Linked DNA regions of Oreochromis niloticus. The protein of the gene in region 2 interacts with the protein of the main gene of each other region in a biochemical or structural test. Links are inferred from orthologs where the notes say so. Each region holds a gene or a part of one and is shown on either strand. Other genes may lie near its edges.

Region 1 (9,363 bases), on a different chromosome or scaffold from region 2:
CTCAGCCACTAACAGGTGCCATGGTGAAGAGATAATAAGTGTTATCTACTGCATCTGTCAGTGATCATATTGTTATACCTGATTTAAAGAAAAAACAACTTTCTGTTTCCAGAACAGATTTAAAGTAGCAAATGAGTAAAGGAGTCTGAAGAAAAGCTTTGGGAACTTAGAAGCTCACCCTTCAGTAATTATCGCAGCTTTTGTAGCAGCTAAGATTTGTTCAGTTCTTGTTTGGGAGGATTTTTGCCTTTTCTTCCTTTGTGCAAAAGGTTTGTAGTTCTTTGAAAATTCTTGGCTGCTTTGCATGTGCAGCTGTCTTGAAGTAAAAGATTTTTGATATTTTGATCAGGGTGACTATGAGGGCCATAGTAAAACCTTCAGCTTCCACCTATGGATTATAGAAAACATTTTAATTTAATCTTTGCTTTTATTCATTATTTATTTTACTGTTCACTGATATTTAATGAAATTCATTCTTGCTCGCTCATAGTGTTACTGGTTGGAACAGATATATAAGTGTGACTGATCAGCCCTATATTTAACAATTCTGCATCATTTTTCTCCCACATTTTTTCTCATTGCCTTCAATAAGTTCTGTTTTAACTATATTAGTCCACAATATTTGTTTTCAAAATGCATGGAAATTTCTGATGGTGATGAACAAAGTATTTTTTTCTCTGATGCCTCCTCCATGAAGGTCATATTTGTGCATGTGTGACACCTAAACATCTTTTGCACTTAAATGGAAGGATTAGAACTGCAAGCAGTTTCACCTCTCATCCAAGAAGCTTCTTCAGTTCAAGAAGCTTCTTGGATGAGAGGTGAAACGTCTCAAACTTAAAGAAGTCCAGACACTTTTCTTTCCAAGCTCCTTAGACCAGCTACTTGTTGCTTTGTTCTTATAGCATTCTCTTTGAAAATGGGGATCCGTTAGATTTGAAAACTGCAATACTTTCCTGATGCCTACTGTGTGACCAAGCACAACAAACAAATCTGACACAACTTGGTAATAGTAGGTCATTTCTCTTAAAGAGTCTCCCAAACTTCTGAATCATATTCCTCGTATTTACTGTCACTCTCCCTTTTTTTCTAAAAATGTTGAAAAGAAAGTATTTATCTATAACTTTATGCCTTTTAAAGACCACTTCACCCTGTGTTCATGACAGCAACAGAAATCTGAAGACGTCCAAACTTTTGCATGCTGCCGTATTTTTGTGCAACAGTGATTTCAAGGACTGCAGTAACTTGGTCTCTGCACCACCTCTGTGTGCCCCTTTCTTGTCATGCTGAAGTAGCACTTGGAGTAAACACTTCACTCACAACAACAGCACCGAACACCTCCATCACTGCTGCTCTCCATCTGTCCTCAAGCTACAGCCATGCATGAATTCTAACATGCACAGACTGGGATTGCCTCATAAGACATATTTTCAAGAGCAGTTCTCTAAAAAGCAAACATACGTTTTTCAAAATGCAAAGAAAAACATCAGATTTAATGTGATTTCTTCACTTCCTTTTCTCACCAATGTCTCAGAAATGATTTGCAGTTTAACAAAGCCTTACACATGCAGGCAGGTGGAGTTTGTTTAGTCATTAGTCATGTAACCATTCATTCATTTGAGGAGAAAAAAACCCACACCAACAACAACAAAGCACTGTGCCTGCTGGACTCGAGTCAGCAACACACCAAATGTCAACTTAGTGAAGCCCAATATGAGTGTCACTCAATGCTTACCATAGAGAATGGTCACCATGGAAACCGGCATGACCAAGATGCCGAGAAGCATGTCAGCTACTGCCAGTGACATCAAGAAATAGTTTGTGGCGTTCTGCAGCTTCTTCTCCAGGGAGACGGCCAGGATCACCAGAATGTTGCCCATGACCGTGACAGCGATGACCACTAAAATCAGCAGGGCTGCCCAGTTTTTCTGCATCAGCTGCTCCAAGGGAGGGCACTGAGACCCGTAGACTCCCGCCACGTTATGGTGAGACCAGTTCCCCAGCTGTGCGTCATTGCCATTATGAACCACATTGTTCCTCTGGCAGCCCAGGTTCGTGGCATTGCCACTTTGGAGGCCACCTTCCTCGTGTGGAGGCCAGGGGTTAGACCCCAGAGTGGTAACGGCTGTGACAGTGTTAGAGATCAACTGTGACACATTGCCACCATGCAGGTTCATGGTGTCAGCTCGATAAATGCTCAGGACCGCTGCCTGGAAAGTGGGTCAGAGTGGCGGAGAAAAGAGGAAAGTCTGTTCATCGCTCACTTGTTTTCCATTCCCGTTGCTCTGAATATTATAAATACAACACCGTTCATCACTCTAGCAATTAACCTGTAATTCAATATGGTTTACCACTTCTTTGCTCCATCATGTCAAATAAAAAAAAGAAGAAAAATCCCTGAATTGACTGTCAGAGGATCAACAAATCATCTTCACAACGGGGAAACAAAAATAGCATTCTGCTGAATTCAGCGCAACCAGAAGAGCAGCTGTTTGATCTCACAGGACAATGCCGAACGCTTAAAAATGATATCTCGCTTGGTTAATAACCTCCCTGTGCCCACAGTCCGTCATCTGGCTCTGTGAAAACAAAGAAACAAAAGTATTCCGTTGCCCAAAATATCCCAAACAGAACGGAGTTGTTTTGACTCCCATATCTTCAGTGATTTAGAAAAAAATAACTTCTCTTCTTATTATAGAATCCACTCAAAGCTGGTGCGATGGCAGTTGCAGGTTTCTCCTGTTTAGAGTTTGAAGTCAAGGCTGTGTTCATGTTAAAAATATCAGGTCCATGTGAAGTCGGGAATGTTACAAATCAGAATTTCATTGCCTGGTTGAAGCAGTTATTCAGTAACTTTGTTTCTTTTCAGTCTTTAATGTATGATCTTTAAGGAGACAAACAAATAAAAAAAAACCTCCAGCCTTGGAATACTGGTGTTATCAGTTTGACACAAACCCTGACTGACGTGTGAATGTTCAGAGTTTGTTTATCCTAACTGACACTCCTGCACAGATGTCATTATGCTGCACGTGTGTGTTTCCTAATGTGTGTGGAAATCTTCAAGCGTCCTCGCTCTCTCGTCTCAACTCATCCCTGCACCTGTGAGAGTGCGTCGGCAGCCGACAGACATGGATGATGAACATGATGATATCTGACATGTGTGAGTATGTGTCACTAACTTTCCAGTCTCCTTCCTTCCTTCACTTGCATTTCTTGACTCATAGTAAGAAAGTATTCTTTGTTTGCTGTAACTAAGAACAATGTCAGACCTCCAGAGAATTAAATATTCCTTACATTTTTCCTCCTTGTGCTTGCATAAGCCCTCAGTGGAAAATGTCAGTCACTCTTCAAATCCTTCATGAATAAACACAGATCTCCTTCCTTCACAGACCTTGATCATTCACTCTGCACATCTTGTCACTTTCCAAAAAGGAAAAAACTAAAAAAGAAGCAGAAGGAAAAGGAGGAGGAAAGCAAACTTCTTTTCTCTCTCCCATCAGCAGACTGAAGAGGCTCCGTGTGTTTTCAGCTTTCCAGGAGAGTGTCGTTAAGTTGTTGAGTCGTCTTCTGTGGTGAACAGGAGCTGAATGCTATTCTGCTTCTACTCGCTCACGCTGCTTCTCACATGCAGCCTCTCTCTCCCTCCCTCTCTCTCTGCAGCTCTCTCACTGGGATCTCCTGCTCTCTCTCCCTTTTTACCCAGGGTCTCTCCCCCGCATACCATATTGGTATGCTCCCTCTCTCGCTTTCTCAAGCGTTCTCTCTTCTATTTATTGTGCCGCTTTCTCTTTCCTCTTCTTATTGCTGAATCTCGAAGTCCTGTTCTCTCCCTCCTCTCTCACACTCTCTCTGTGTTTCTCTCACTCAAGTTAAACCTGCATCTCTCTCAATTCACTTCACTTCAAATGGCTTTACTAGCACTACCATATTCAGCAATATGCCAAAGCCCTCTCTCTCACATACACATACATACATACATATATATATATATATATTTTTTTTTTTTTTTTTTTTTTTTTTCTCTCTCATGTCTGTGGTAGGCTCGCTTAGCATAGGGGGTCTAGCTTTAGGACCCTTACTGGATACAGACGCCCCAGGCAGGAATCAAGAACTTGTGATCCTCTGCTCCAAAGGTGTGCAGTCTAACCACTACGCTATCCAGAGCTCGAGAGGATGTGGAGGGTGAAGGTAACGGTGGTCCCCGTGGTAATCGGAGCACTAGGTGCGGTGACTCCCAAGCTAGGCGAGTGGCTCCAGCAGATCCCGGGAACAACATCGGAGATCTCTGTCCAGAAGAGCGCAGTCCTGGGAACAGCTAAGATACTGCGCAGGACCCTCAAGCTCCCAGGCCTCTGGTAGGGGACCCGAGCTTGAAGGATAAACCGCCCTCAGGGGCGTGCTGGGTGTTTTATACATATATATATTAAAAAAAACAAATATATATAGGTGCAACTGGTCAAACTTGCTGTAGCCATCAACAACCTTGCCTGGCTATTTGACCATTCCTCTTGGCAAAATTAGTAGACTTCATTTAAATGAGTTTACGTCCTGGTGCAGAGCGGGCTTTTAAGTGTAGAACACACATTCTCAATAGGGTTGAGGTCAGAGCTTTTTGGGTCATTTCTAAACAACTGCAGATTCCAGGAGCATCAGTTTAAACAACTGTATATAAGTTCAAATTATTTAGATATGTTGCCACCACACTGCCAAGGTTTGGGAGAAGACCTCAGTTGTCACCCTCAGATGAGAGAATTATTCAGGATCAACCCAGGAACCACCAGGACTCAAGCCTGGAAACCACTGGAACACCAGCATCATTGTCCAGGTGGTGTTTTACATTTTTATGAATTGAGAAGGTGCCAACCAACAAAGAAGGACCTGCTCCAACCGTGTACATGGACAAGCTAAATGCCTTCTGGAGAAAAATTTTGGTCACATGAGACAAAGATTGAGCTTTATGGCCATTTTGCCAGCTGTCAATCATCATAGCATCAAGCCTCTAGGGCTGTTTTCCTGCTAATAGTACTGCATAAAGTGGATGAAATAATGAGTACTTACAAATGATTCAACTTACCCTCAAATCTACAGCTAGACGGTTGAAGCTTGACACAGCTCAGTTTTCAAACAGGACGGTTATCCCAAACACACATCAAAACTATATTTGAAGTGGATAAAGCAGGCTAACATTAGGCTTCTGGAAAGGTCTAAGGACTTGGAAAGAAAAGCACCTAAAGAACAAAGGTCACTCTTTCGAGGATGCCAGTGTTCACATTTTGGACAAAGAAGACAAATGGTTTGAAAGAGCAGTGAAAGAAGTGATGTATGTCCACTGTGAGCGACCATCTTTAAACAGAGGTGGTGGTTTACGACACCAACTATCTGCCATCTATAATCCAGTTTTGAAATCCCTTCCCAGATGCCTTAACTCCCACTCACATCCTGGGCCATTTGACCTCAGGGAATCACATGATAGGGTGGGGCTAGGCTTCACAATGGGTTCACCCGAAACCTTGGCTGATTATGACCCACACCCTTTTTCACACCTTGGCTCGTGTGATTAGGTAGAGGATCAATAGGGGGTCCATGACCCTCCTGGGGACACTCCCATAGGGCTTAAAATCTGGGACTCTCCACCAATTGCTCTTAGAACTGAAGAAGCTTCTCAGATGAGAGGTGAAACATCTTTAAGGAAACTTAATGAAGTCCAGACGCTTTTCTTTCCAAGCTCCTTAGACTACGATGACCTGGATGACTGACAACCTTCACAGACATAGGCTTCTTGAAAGGCTTTCCCAAAGCCCTGATTTTAACCATGTTGAAAATATGTGGACTACACTGAAAAGCTGGGTAAATGACAGGAAACAAAGCAATTTAAAGGAACTCTGACAAGAAAAATGGTCAAACATCCACCCAGAATTATACGAGAAGATTTTTGATGGCTGCCAATATTGCCCAATATTTTCACAACATGATTTGGTTGGCTGGCGGAAAGTGCAGATACATTTGAACAGATGCATTTTAGTTTGCTGCCATCTGTGCTGGTGTTTGAACACTCAGCTCATAGTCACAAGTAAAGCAAAGCATTCACAATTTCAATTGGTCAATGGATGACGTCAACTCATCAAAAAAATTAATGCTGAGCCAAGAGTGCTAAAGCCTGAAATGCATATATGTAGTCAATTACAGATTTACTGCAGGTTTCCATCCTCTAGTCTACTCTAAATGAAGACACAAAGCTTCATATTAAGCAGGAGCACTGAGGAGACTGTAGTCTAACTCATATAAATACATTACAAGCAATCTCACATTTCCAAACACATAAGGCATTCATCTAAAAAGTAGATTCATATCTGGAAGCAGCTCATAGTGCTTTGTAATCTACAGAAAGGCTGTGTTTAAACTGTCCACATTTTTTTCAGCCGTGTACATATTACAGAGGCCACAAGCACACTGCTATTGGGATGCTAAAATTTTAAAAAATCCATAAATGTATGAATGCAAGACATCCACCATAAGCAGTGCAAATTAGGTGATCAAAAATGAGCACACCTCTTGAGGTAGTGGGTAACATACTAACCAACATAATCCAATATAAAAATGCAGGTATTATTCAAGTGTTTGTTTCTGGGAGCAACATGGCAGTTTAGATCAAAGAGAGAGAGCTTAAGGAAAACCGATGTTGTGACATCAGGGCAAACTCTTCTGTTAGAGATTGATGGGCACTCTGTGGGGTCTTGGAGGAAAGGCAGCTGTTCTCTGGATACATCTGAAAGCACAGGTGGAGCACAGAGAAGGAATCCTTCATTACAACAAAAGTCTGCCATACAGATCCACTTATGTGTACGATTGGACCTGTTAGATTGTACAGGAACACATTAGTTATGAGACATGACTCAGACAATTCAGATATTTTTTAAATTCATTTCAGATACATGAGTGACATCAATGATTACATATCGACCTAGATTTTAATACCTTGTGTTAAATATCTAATACTAGTAGGAAGTTTAACAAAAAAAGTCATGAGCATGATTTGTGATGTTGCAGTAAATACACACACAGGCTTTTGTGCTCTCTGCAGTTTTGCTTTTCTGGACTGATCTCTGTTTAGAAGTCTGACTAAAACCCAGGAATGCTGGGAACCATTCAGCTCACTTTAAAAGGTACCTTTTACAATGCCTTATGTACAACCATGACTTGTAATGGACAAGTTTCACTCCCCTCCAACATTGCTTTTGTGCTCTGTTGCGTGAAAGTACCTGTGTTCAGGACCAGAAGGTAGCCTCTGAACATCTGGGTTCTGCATGATTCACACTCTCCTCACCTGATTGTGCTCTGAAAAGGGAGTAGATATTTATTACAGCTGGGCTGTCAATCAGTGCCTGTCAGCTCCTAGATTTCCCCCTTTTATCCTCCTCTAACAGGACTATCCTTCTCCTTTCTTCTTCTTCATTTTGTTCCTCTTTCTTGTCTTCTCTTTCTCTCCCCCTTTTACCCATTTTTTGTGAGCATGTGTGAATACAGACAGGTCTTTCCAGCTGTGTGATGTCCTCCAGGAGGGCGTGCTCTCTAACCAGTCTGGCTTCTCGCTGGCACACCTGCAACATCCGTTGATCACTGCCTGTATAAAAGGACTCATTCACTGATTGCCAGATTATTACATTGCAGTGATGTGGTAACCAGTTCAGTTCAAGTTGTCTTTAGCATTCTGGTGATTTCAACCTTGTACTGGTTCCTCTGGTATGTGTCTCAGTGTCTCAGGCTTCTGTTTATTCGAGAGCAACATCTTGATTCCTCTTCCCCTTTAAGCCGATTTCCGTCTGTCCACTCTTCAGCTCTCTACCTGCCCAGTCCCTTTGTTATTAACTAGGGATGGCACGATACCACTTTTTTTTTATGATAAAATGTTAGCTGCCCAAACCCTAAAGAAAAAAAATAACCCTTTTGTAACAATTTGTCCACTTTAACATGAGAGGGAGGTTCTTCTTTAGAAAGATCTGCATTTCAGCCTTCTCAGCTGTCAGGCTGCTTCTCCTTTCATCAATAATAATAGAGGCTGCACTGAAGAGTCTCTCACTCTCCACACTTGTTGTAGGTGCACAGAGAAATTTAGCTGCTGTAGAAACCAGAGTGGGTAATCTAGGTTGGTTGACTTTCCAGTACAGCAGTGGATTGTCTGAGCGCTGAATGGTTGGCTCACTGAGGCACATTTGCAATTGTCGTGGCTAACTGAGGAACAGGATTCACAGTGTTTTCCTTCAGGATTTTATCCAAAACCGTTTCAGGTGTCTTGGGCTTGAAGATTCCACCCGAGGAGTCTTCTTTGCTGACTCCAAGACTGCTAAACATTATGTCACTCTGATGAATCTAAATAGTTCTCCTCAAAACCTCGTCCATCTTCCTTACCTCTACCATCAAAGTATGTTGGATCTCAACATACTTTGCTGTACTATTCTGAGCCAGGCAACGTATTTTCTAACATTCACTGGTGGTGTATGGACTGAACAACAAGTCTATCTAATCTAATCTCGAATGTCCTCACCATTTTCTGACACACACTCTCTCCTCTTGGTGGCATATTAAGCTCCATTCAAATGTCCTCTAAACATGAATATGCCTGTGTTGAGGATGACCCACTATTTTTCTTCCAACTACCACAGCATCACATCCACTACAGTGTGCTAGCAGTCCCTCACCACGAATTGCAATGTGTGCTCAAAGCATCCCAAACTTGTAACTTGCATTGTCTTCCAAAACAACGTGGACTTAATTCTTCGAAATTTTTCATTCCAACATTTCCTCCATAGCTGCAGAGATGGACTCTTCTGAGTGCTTACCATGAAACTGTTTAGCCTGCATCACTGCTTTTTTATAGTGTAAAAGTAAAACTTGAGCCTGTCAATTGTGTGGTCAGACTAAGAAATGACGATGGACAGACGTCCGAGATCCAAATATCAGTTGTTTAATGTGGGAATGCGTTCCAAACATTCAGAGAGGAACTTACACAGCTGCTTGTACATCTCTGGGATAGCTTGCTTGGAGATGAAATGGCAGTTTGGCAACACCAAATGCTCCATTAAGCCTTGAAAACCAGCATTTTCCACAGCAGTAAGGGCATCAAGCACTATAAAATCAACAATTTTCTCTGTTATCAGCTTTGCTTTGTTGCTTTCTGGAGGGAGTTTTTCATGCTTCTGAATGGTTTCCAAAAGTGCTTGTTGATACAGTACATTTTTTGTTCTCAGCATTGGAGGCTTGTATAAATTCCATGTACTCCTTTCCTTGGTGTTTCTGCAAGTGTTTAATTATGTTAGTGGTGTTAAAGTTCCCAACACTGCTGCCATCGTGAAACACTTGCATTGC
Region 2 (9,734 bases):
TGACATTTACCAATGGCAGGAATAATGAGCTGACTAAATGTTTAACTGTAGAGTGATAAAGAGTTGAAAGACTTTAAAACAAGCTTCTTTTTTTGTGGAACCCAACCAATAAATCTGTATTTTCAGCCAAAATTGACTTATTAAGGATCTGGAGCTATATGAAAACTCTGATTTTGGTTTTTAATAATAACGCAGAAAAGATGCTTAGGGTAATTTAGAATTGGTGTTATCAGTTTTTCCAGCAGAGCAGCGCCTGGAGCACACGTATTCATCACAGTTCATCATTTGCAGCTGACAAACACACAGTCAACATTCCCGTCCTGAGAGTGACCACAGATTGCTGTTTTAAAGAAAGAAGCTGGCAGCACCAATTTGGCATCATGCTTGACAGTTGGGCAAATAAATCTCTATGGGCACAAACAAACAATCAAATTTATGGCAACATTATCAGATATGGCAACATTGGCAGCCCACGGACATTGAACTGAATCCAGGGCCTCTTACGCTGGTTGAGAAAACTCTCAGCTTAAGCCAAATGTGCAAAGCACAGCCAGCAAAGACGGACACCCAAGCCCCCGTGCAAAAACTGCTCATTTTAAAAGGAAGATTTTCTCTTTTTTTGATTATGGCAGTGTTGAATCTTAATTAAACCGAGTACTGGTACTGGATTCAGAAGTCTGCTATCATGACCACACTCAACCCTAAAGCTGGTTCAATCATGGATGAAATCATGAATATTTTATAGATGCCTGGCATAAAACAATTTAAAAAACCAAATACTTACCCATTGTTTCTATCATTTTTAGAGCGTCGGATGAATGTGTAGCCTTCCCTTCATCAAGGCCTGAAAATGACAAATTCAGTATTTAATGTCTTTTTGTGAGCAATCAGAGAACTAAATATTAGACCACTAACTCACGCTGTTTTCTTTTATTTTTAACTTCCACAAAGCTCTCAGAGCAAGAAAAATGGCTCATCCTCCTCCTGGGTTCTCCTCCCAACTTACACATTTTCTGTTCAAAAGATTAACATTAAAAAGAAACTAGATTTATTTCATTTCTGTTAGGTCCATATTTATCTCTGAAGAATGCTTCACTATGTGCATCAGAGTACCATTGTGCTGAAGAACTGTCCCAGTTTGTCGAGTCTCTCGACAAACCGGCTGCCAGAAAAGCGCTTCTACTCAAGCTTCTTAGTTCCCTTATATTCCACTAATGCTCTTATTGATGAATAAATACCAAGTAATTTACATTCCTGAAATTTCATACAGCCGGTATTAGATGAAGCTTGAGTATCCATTTTGCTCTTATCAGATAAATATCATCTTACTTCATACAACCCTGATAATTAATTATCCTCTCACACAACAATCTTATAAGCTGCTTTAAAACTAGCACAACATCCTGCTAACATGACAATTTTCATATTTAATTGTTCTTCATTTTCTCCTTATAAATTAAAAGTTTACACTGACTTTTTATTTGCACTGTTACTTAGCTCATAAATGAGTGTTTAAACTGTTGGTCAATATTAGGAGTGGGGGGTGGGCGAGCAGATAGAGCACAGTATTGCACTAATTTAGGTGGTGATATTGTATTAGTTCTGCGACACCAAAAAATAAATTTTTATTAGCTAAAATAAAATTCTTTGGGGACGACTACAAACAAGATGGATCATCTCATGCAACACCAATCTGAGATAATGTTAACTGTGCAAACTTACTTTACACTGGCTCGACCAAACTTGTGATTGTCCAGAGCTTGAGGGTAAGGTAAGGTGATAGCACAGGTCACCTGATACGAGGTAACCTTTCTGCAAATAGTTGCAGTCTGACTTGGAAGGACTGCAATCACTCTCAGAGAGATTGTCAAAGGTTTGCAAATAATTGCTGTCTAATTTACAGATAGATTGAGTCTCTGTCAATGAGCACAACGCGAGAGGACTCAACTCAACTGGCTGCCAGCTGCTTGTATTCTTGTTATATTCCCGTAAAACCGGAAGGCTGCTGAATGCAGAAGACATAGTTAAATGTTTCTGTCTCTGCAGACTGAAACAGATATGTGTTTATCAACAATTTATTACAGTTAATTGCTGTTTTATCAAAGTCAGGTTGCATGTAATTGCCAAATTGACCCAATCAATCGTAGACTGATATCAGACTGATGGCACACTGACCTGGTCTTATGGCAACATTAATGGCAGGTTTTAGTGACAGTGTTGGTGTTTTTCAATATCACTGAACAGCAATACTACGGTGGTTACCACTGGCTTTTATAATGTCTACGGTAACACACAGCAAAAGAGAAAAAATGCTTATGTTTTGCACACAAAAAAATTACCTAAATGCATACCTGATTATTAAGTAATCAGCTCATGTATTTATAATTATTATTTTAAACTCCCTAAAAGCTGCTTCAGTAAATCACCCTTTCTATTGACTGGTGTCATCCTGCTCACTGTTCCTTTCAGACACACACATTTCTGACTATTTTACCTGGAAAAGTCTTAATTTACCAATATTTCATTGTACCATTGTGCTTGAAATCAAAGTCTCATTTTGCACAATGGGTGGATTCAAACATCTATCTGAAGTCTGGCTATTTGTTCTATCTAATCTGTCAAAAAATATATCTTTGTGAAACTGACTGTTGCCTTGGAAAAAACCCTGTTACCTTCAAAGTGCATGCAATCAAATCAGAAAGGCAAGAGAAAGAAGGAGCAGTGACTCCTCTACTGTGTAAACAAAGCCAGTGCCAATAAGCTCATAAAGACTCCCAGTGCCTTGATACTTTAAAGCTTTAAAAGCTAACAGCAATGCATGATGAAGGTGATCATGTCGTTTGTATTTGACTAATTCTTTTAAGGAGTGCTCGCTAACAGAGCCCATGCAGGGAACATCACACTTGGCTGCGGAGAGTGGCTTTGTAAGCAAGCGTGATATGACTCAGGGAGACATTACACGATTAAAGGAGATTGCTCAGACAATTAAAAGCCCTGTATAGACTCTCAGAATAGCTGCAGTATCTGTGGCAAAAGGATCACCACAGCTCTGGTTTGTTTATGCATTTGCTTCACTCATCACTGCATGTGTCCTACCCTTTATGCTGAGTGATGAGCTAGTATGTTAGCTGTGTATTTCACTCATGTAGTGATGTATTTATGTAGTAAATCTGCCTTCACACGCACCTTACAGTCACTTGTGGCAACAGTAGTATACTATATGTGTTTTTTTTTTCAATGACATATGTGGTTCAGTGTCTGAAAGTAGCTTTACCATTCCTTAAGGATGCACACACTATAGTGGTATGCAATGAATCACAGAAGGCCGGAGGAGCTCATTAGCCGCTATTACACAGTAGATATCAGCCTCCAAAAAAAGTAGTTTAGCTCCATGGGTAGCATTTCCTTGCGAAAATAATCATTTGTGAGGTTTGTGGTGAGTAAAATTAGCTAATAAGAAAACGCTGTTATTTTATCGCGGAGTTCCTCCAAAATCAAAGAAATTAGCACTATGCCCGTGTTATTTCTTGTTAATAAAGCGTTTAGTACGTCGTATTTGTTTAAAGCTGGTATATTCTGCCCAGGTTCGGTGGTGTTTTGAATACAGTCGACAAGGCACTCGGGACAATCCGATTTTCTCAACCCCTCCTCCTCCTCCTCTTTCCCCATCTCATCTAGCAAGAAAGCAACAGGCTTCCGACGCGGAGACGGGAAAGAAGTTACACACTATCAGGGCTCTGTACGGCCACAGGAAATCGCCCAAGCTGGCTTCTTGTAGTATATATAAACACTTTTACTTGAAAAAAAGCCTCTTGGATCTATTTAAAGGCAGTCTGGTGTGGTTATGTGACCAACCGCTACAGAAGACGTCTCACAATATTTTCCTCTAATTAGCGACATTAAAGCTAACAAAGGGGGTCTCTAGCTTGAGAAAAGCTGAAGTTAGTACACATTCGAGACTTCAGTAACGTTTCCTCAAGCGAAACACGTTTAAAGAGAGTCACTTACATGAGTGTGGACGCTCTGCTTCCCCGGCGGCCAGTATCTTGAGCTATCCTCTGTTGTCCTGCGGCTAACGGCGCACTGACTGGGGCTTAAAGATGGGGCGTTGAGTAACTCGATCCTCTGTGGACACTTCCAGCGATAGCCGCACCGACAGTTCAGCTGGGGCTGAAGCGCCGCTTGCTGGCTGCCCTGACAACTAGGCCCTACATACATGGAAGAAGCCCTGGCTGCCGTGTAGGGCCAGAGCTAAAGTCCCAAAAACAAAGCAAACTCACATAAACTTAAACTAGGGCAGGGATGTTAAACTCGGTTTACATTGCGGGCCACATTATGAGCCTACTGTATGATTTTAAGGAGCCCGGATCAGTGATACCCCCCTTTTCCGTCTGTGTAAATCAGTTTAAATGCACACTTAAAAAGAAGTGCAATTTCAACAGTACACTGAAGTTTGTCTGCAGAACAGAGAAATCCTGCTCCTGTAAATGAAATAAATATAAATTGTAAGAAATAAATGTGTAAAATTAGCTCATTTCTCAGATTAAACTGTGATTATAACACTTTTTGGGGGGGTTATTTAATAGAAAAGGATCTTGTTTCAATTACTGTTAGAAAACCCCCAGAAATTTATATAGATTTTTAAAAAACATGAATCTTTCTGTTATTTAATTGCTTATGTGTTAGTTTGGTGTATTATTAATGAAAACAAGGGATGTCTTTATCACTAGGAAGAGCTGTAAAACTTTTCAAAATACAGTTTAAAGTCGAAACTTTATGGCCTCCCTCAAATTTTCCAAAGCTGTCCAGTGAGCCAGATCGGAGTCTTTGCTGGGTGAAATTTGGGAAGGGGTGAGAGGGGTTGTCTATAATGGACATTATCTTGGCTAGCATCCTCTCACACATCACCTCTATGGAGTCTAGGGGCTGGCCAGGATGGAGCTGGCCCTCTTCACCAGTCTATTAAGTCGGGTAGCACTTTGGCAGGAGAAGGCATAGATGCTGTAACAAGAGAGACAGAGGGGCATGAGGGGTTAACCTGGCCTGCCTATAAACCGACGTTTAAGTGGAGAAAAGACAGCAGAAAACAGCTTTCCAACTGCTTTCATGGGGCAAACAACAGGAAATTACAGATAAATCACGGCAAAACTTTCACAGAAGGTTATTCTCTGAAAAAAGTTGGCCTGGGAGACAAACACACACAGCCCAGCGATTTTGTCTGAGGCAGTTAAACTTGGCCCTTAAAATTATTACTTTTGAGGAACACCTGACCTCAGCGACCTGAACGTGAATCACAGGTGCAGAAGTGTATTTGTTTAAGTGCCCTTGAGCAAACACAGTCTCTAAAATGCATAAAATACACTATAAAGGAAGCGTAATATTGCTCTCATTCATATTACATATATTGAAGTTACCGTGAGGCCCATCCCTACCATGGCTGGAGCCCGGGGATGTATTTGTCTTAATAATTCATATTTTCTCTGCATTTTTTTATATGCTGCACTAATTATAAACGATTCAGCGAATTGTTGGAACGGTTTTCAGTCAATCCAAAGCATTTGTGTGAGAGTCCAATCAACAGGGCAGTTTATGCTTCTAATTAAATATGACTCCCATGCACTGCAAGCTTGTTAACCACATACAGCTCACCCACACACTTATGCATGAATACTTCATGCTGCCACCCACACAAGTTCATGCAAAAGCTAGATATTTGTCTAATATGCATTTAAGTGTAATGAACAGTATACTCTGTGCTTTTATTACTTCACAAGATGATGTGATTTTAACTCAATATGCAGAACATTTAGTAGACACGAGAAAAGAACTTGTCATCTGTTAATTGTGACTCAGATCTAGCAGCACAACAGAAATGTAGTAGTGCTGTAATTTGCATTGTTTTCCACGTTGTTGCAAAGGAAAAGCAACTATTAGGCACTGGCTGGTCAAGAAAGCCTCTTAATACTATTTCTGCCCTCTCCACAATTGCTTTTATTTTCATGGATCAAGACCTCAGAGGAGAGCAGGAAAGAACAGGGTCAGTCTGTAAGAAGTCATTTCACCAACAGGGAGAGGGATACAAGCTGCTTTCAGGGAGCTGATACTGACTAAATCCCTTCACCATTTATATCTTTACTTCCACCTCCCTGCTTATCCACCCTGTAACTCCCCTCTTACTCTGACAATAAGCCACTTTTATGTGGGAGGTCTGACTCAGCCAAATGCTGAAAAAGACAAGAGATTGAAACAAGATAGAAAGGAAGAGAGGGGGAAAAAAACATCTTAGCTCAGTGTTAAGCAGCTTCAGCATTTTATATTTTTATACCTGCCTGTCACAGGCCTTCAGCATTAGTCATTGTTTGAGACAGCCTAGTTAAATCTGTCATAACTGGATTCAGATCTCTTTTTCTCAATACTCTGAAAAAGGATTATTTTAGCTGCATTTAACTGTTTTTTGGACCAATTCGGCGTTTGCAAAAGTCACGAATCATCCCTTATTTCCTTATATTTTGCTTCCAAGGAGCCAGGTTTTATTGCCCTTGAGCAGTAGTTCTCCAGGCTTTCTGAAGGTCTGTCAAAGTTTATCTTTGGTCACGGGCTGCTTTTTACTCATTTTCAGGTAAGCTTGAATGATTCATTGGTCAGTGTTAAGTGACTTAACGTTAACTTATGAATCAGAGCCATGACATACAAATGAAAAAGGCGCCTAACTCTAGGGAGTGTCAACCAGTGCTGTGTATACACATAAAAGACAGTTTACCAAAGGAACAATTGCTAGCACAAAAACAGATGATTTGTTCACATTTCTTTAGTGGACTCTATAAATACTGCCGAGGATAACACAGTTTGACAGGCATCAAACAGTATTTTTGCATCAACAGGATGATTCCCAAAGAGATATTAGCTGAAAACGTGGCATATTTTGGCACAGCACCTCAGAAACTGGACAAGTGGAGAATAGAAGAAAAAGTAGCAGACCTAAAAAGTTATCTATTGCAAATGAAGAGTATGTGAAAGCAATGTCCTTAAGAAAAAGGTGTGAAAAAGACAGCAAAGAGTTGACACGGGACATGAGAGATGCTACTGGACCTTCAGTTGATCCGTCTGCTGTTACTGAAGCCTCATCAGAAATAGTCTCAGTGGAAGAGTGGCTGTCAAGAAGCCTTTCTTAAGAAAGGGAAACAGGGAGAAAAGCCTGAGATATGCCAAATTACACAACAACTGGACTGAAAATCAGTGGCAACAGGTCTTATGGAGAGATTAATCCACATTTGAAATTTTGGGTTCAAATCATTGTCAACAGAAGCACTATGATGGGTTGGAGCTGCATTTCAGTCAGTAATGTTCAGGGATTCAAATATTATTTACAGAAACAATGAATTGGAAACATAATTACACAGAAAAGTACAGTCAGATTTTGATCCACCATGCAATACCATCTGGAAACGACTGATTGACTTCATTTTTTAACATGACAATGATCCCAAACACACTGCCGTTGCAGTAATACCATACCTGGATAGAAAAACACACAGTGGAACATTATCAGTCATGGATTGGCCTCCTCAGAGCCCGGACCTCAACGTTACTAAAGTGATGTGGGATCCTCTTGACGGGGAACAGAACAAAAGGGAGCCAAAGAAGAGCTTTGAATGTCCTTCAAGAGGCCTGGAGAACTATTCCTGAAGACTGCTGAAAGAAATTATTATTATTTCACATTTTCTGAGCAAAAGAAAGTTCAAGTCAGTTGTTCAGTTCTGCATTTTATACAATTTATTATGATTAATATTAGAGTTGGTGTAATTTCTAGTACAATAATCTTACACATATAATAATAAACTCCCGGTTGTGTTGGGACCAAAGTCTATCTATGTGACTATATGTGACTGTGATAACAGTAACAAAGGTACTGGCACACTTAATATCCATGTTAACATGATTAACACTATTACCAACATATATGTTGTGTGAATAGTATGCAGAAAGCTAATACACAGTACTTTGCACCACTTACGTTCACACAGCCTGATTGCAATAGACTGTAGAGATTAATGCGACGAGTGATTATTCAAGAGCGCTGTGATTCAGCTATACAACAACATTTTTAAAATTTACAGCAATTTCCTCTACACTGCACGAAAACGACACATTTTCATGAAAAGTACAACTTTCTAAATATCATGTTTTATTGGAAACACACTTGCTATATGAAGTCATATGGTGTAATAAAAAAAACACCCTGAAGGAATCACAAATTCAGTGTCTGAATCATATTGGCAGAGTGAATGCTGGTATTGTTTGTCTTGATTTATTGCCAATAAATCCATCAACATTCAAATAGCCTTTGGAACAAAATTTTCCCAAACGGTATAAAAAAGCTCACGGAAAGATCTGAAAGTCATACTTTTATTTTTCATATTAAAAGGTCTAGCCTGAATAATTCACTAAGTACTTCTGCAGTACTCTATAATACAGCTTCTTGACCACAACAGTGGGAGTGCGTGTTGGGTCAGTGCTAGTAGATGGCAAAACAAAAGGAAAAGACTAGAAGATTTAAGAGTTTTAAAACTAGAAGGTTGTCTTGATGATGGCCTTGCAGTAGGTATTTCTAGTCTTGTATCAGTAGTTCCTCAGGGTCAGAAAACTGAAAATTGAAAGTTTGGCCTGATATTGTCGTCGAGCAAAGGTCACATGAATCGTAGGAAATCAATAAGTCTGGTCCTGTTGGGAATGTGAATGTGCAGATGGAATTTAATGCCGGTCTCGGGGCTACTTTTGAAGATTTTAGACACTTTGAGAGGTCGTTTTGTGTCTTGGAGGGTTTAGTCAGAAGGGAAGTCATAGGGTCACCCAAAAATCAATCGCCCTCTGCCACTTGAGAGCATGAATGTCCGTGGCAAATGTCAAGCCAATCGAGACATAAAATAAAATCAATTGAACAGAATTTTTTTTAAAATGACTGCTGAACTGCAACCCTCGCTTTTCTCTGGTATTCAGCACAGATCCGGGTCAGACATGTAATACTAAAGTAAGAAAATTGAGTTTACAAGACAATGGCGGTATATTGCAAGTACAATATAATCAATAAAGAGCTTTACGTGCTATGAAAGATTAGGCTATATTATTTCAGAATTTCAATGTGCAATAACCAACAGTTGTGATATGAGTGAACGTGATTAGTCATCAAGTATCTTCAATGTGTGAGAGCATCTGTGCCATTACTTGCTATAAGTCGTTGATTGCTAACCCGACCTGCTAGCTTATTACCGACAATTTATTGCCTTCATCGTCTTTTCAGCTTTCTGTAACGCTACACTAAAAGGAAATTACAACCTGCATTATGTGAAAGAGCTCTGAGAGAAGGTAACAGACAGATGAGTCCTCAATATCTGACCTCAGGGAATCTGACAGCTGAAATTAGGGCCTTAAGCTCATATTTCACAGTGTGTACTGCTCTCGGTTTCATTATATAGCATTGAAGGGCTTCTGAATGCACTGTGAGTCACAGCAGGTGAGGTGAGCAGCTATAACGTTGAATGAATGATGTATTAAATGTCCACTTAGTCTTTAAAAGCTAGCGTTGCTCTGTTTCGAAGGGGGAAAAAAAACTTTGGATAATTTATATATGACCAAACTGCGCCTTTCACCAAATGTCTTTATATTTGCACCTATTATTGTATTTGATTGACACCGTCACAGCATGCTTTTCACTGTGTTAAACTGCAAGTCTTCTT

Evidence for each region.
Region 1: the proteins of mpdz (region 2) and htr2aa form a complex in vitro, tested with the Homo sapiens proteins (2 studies listed by IntAct, with this or other methods). The link is inferred for Oreochromis niloticus from reciprocal best matches to the Homo sapiens genes MPDZ and HTR2A.

Annotation. Positions count from the first base shown.
Region 1 is NC_031987.2:29,661,865-29,671,227, forward strand, and holds the start of htr2aa (5-hydroxytryptamine receptor 2A), read right to left. Parts: upstream 3,794-9,363; 5' UTR 2,178-3,793; coding exon 1,736-2,177; intron 1-1,735. UniProt on the Homo sapiens protein: G-protein coupled receptor for 5-hydroxytryptamine (serotonin).
Region 2 is NC_031967.2:13,315,913-13,325,646, forward strand, and holds the start of mpdz (multiple PDZ domain protein), read right to left. Parts: upstream 4,312-9,734; 5' UTR 4,009-4,311; intron 845-4,008; 5' UTR 801-844; coding exon 785-800; intron 1-784. UniProt on the Homo sapiens protein: Member of the NMDAR signaling complex that may play a role in control of AMPAR potentiation and synaptic plasticity in excitatory synapses. Promotes clustering of HT2RC at the cell surface.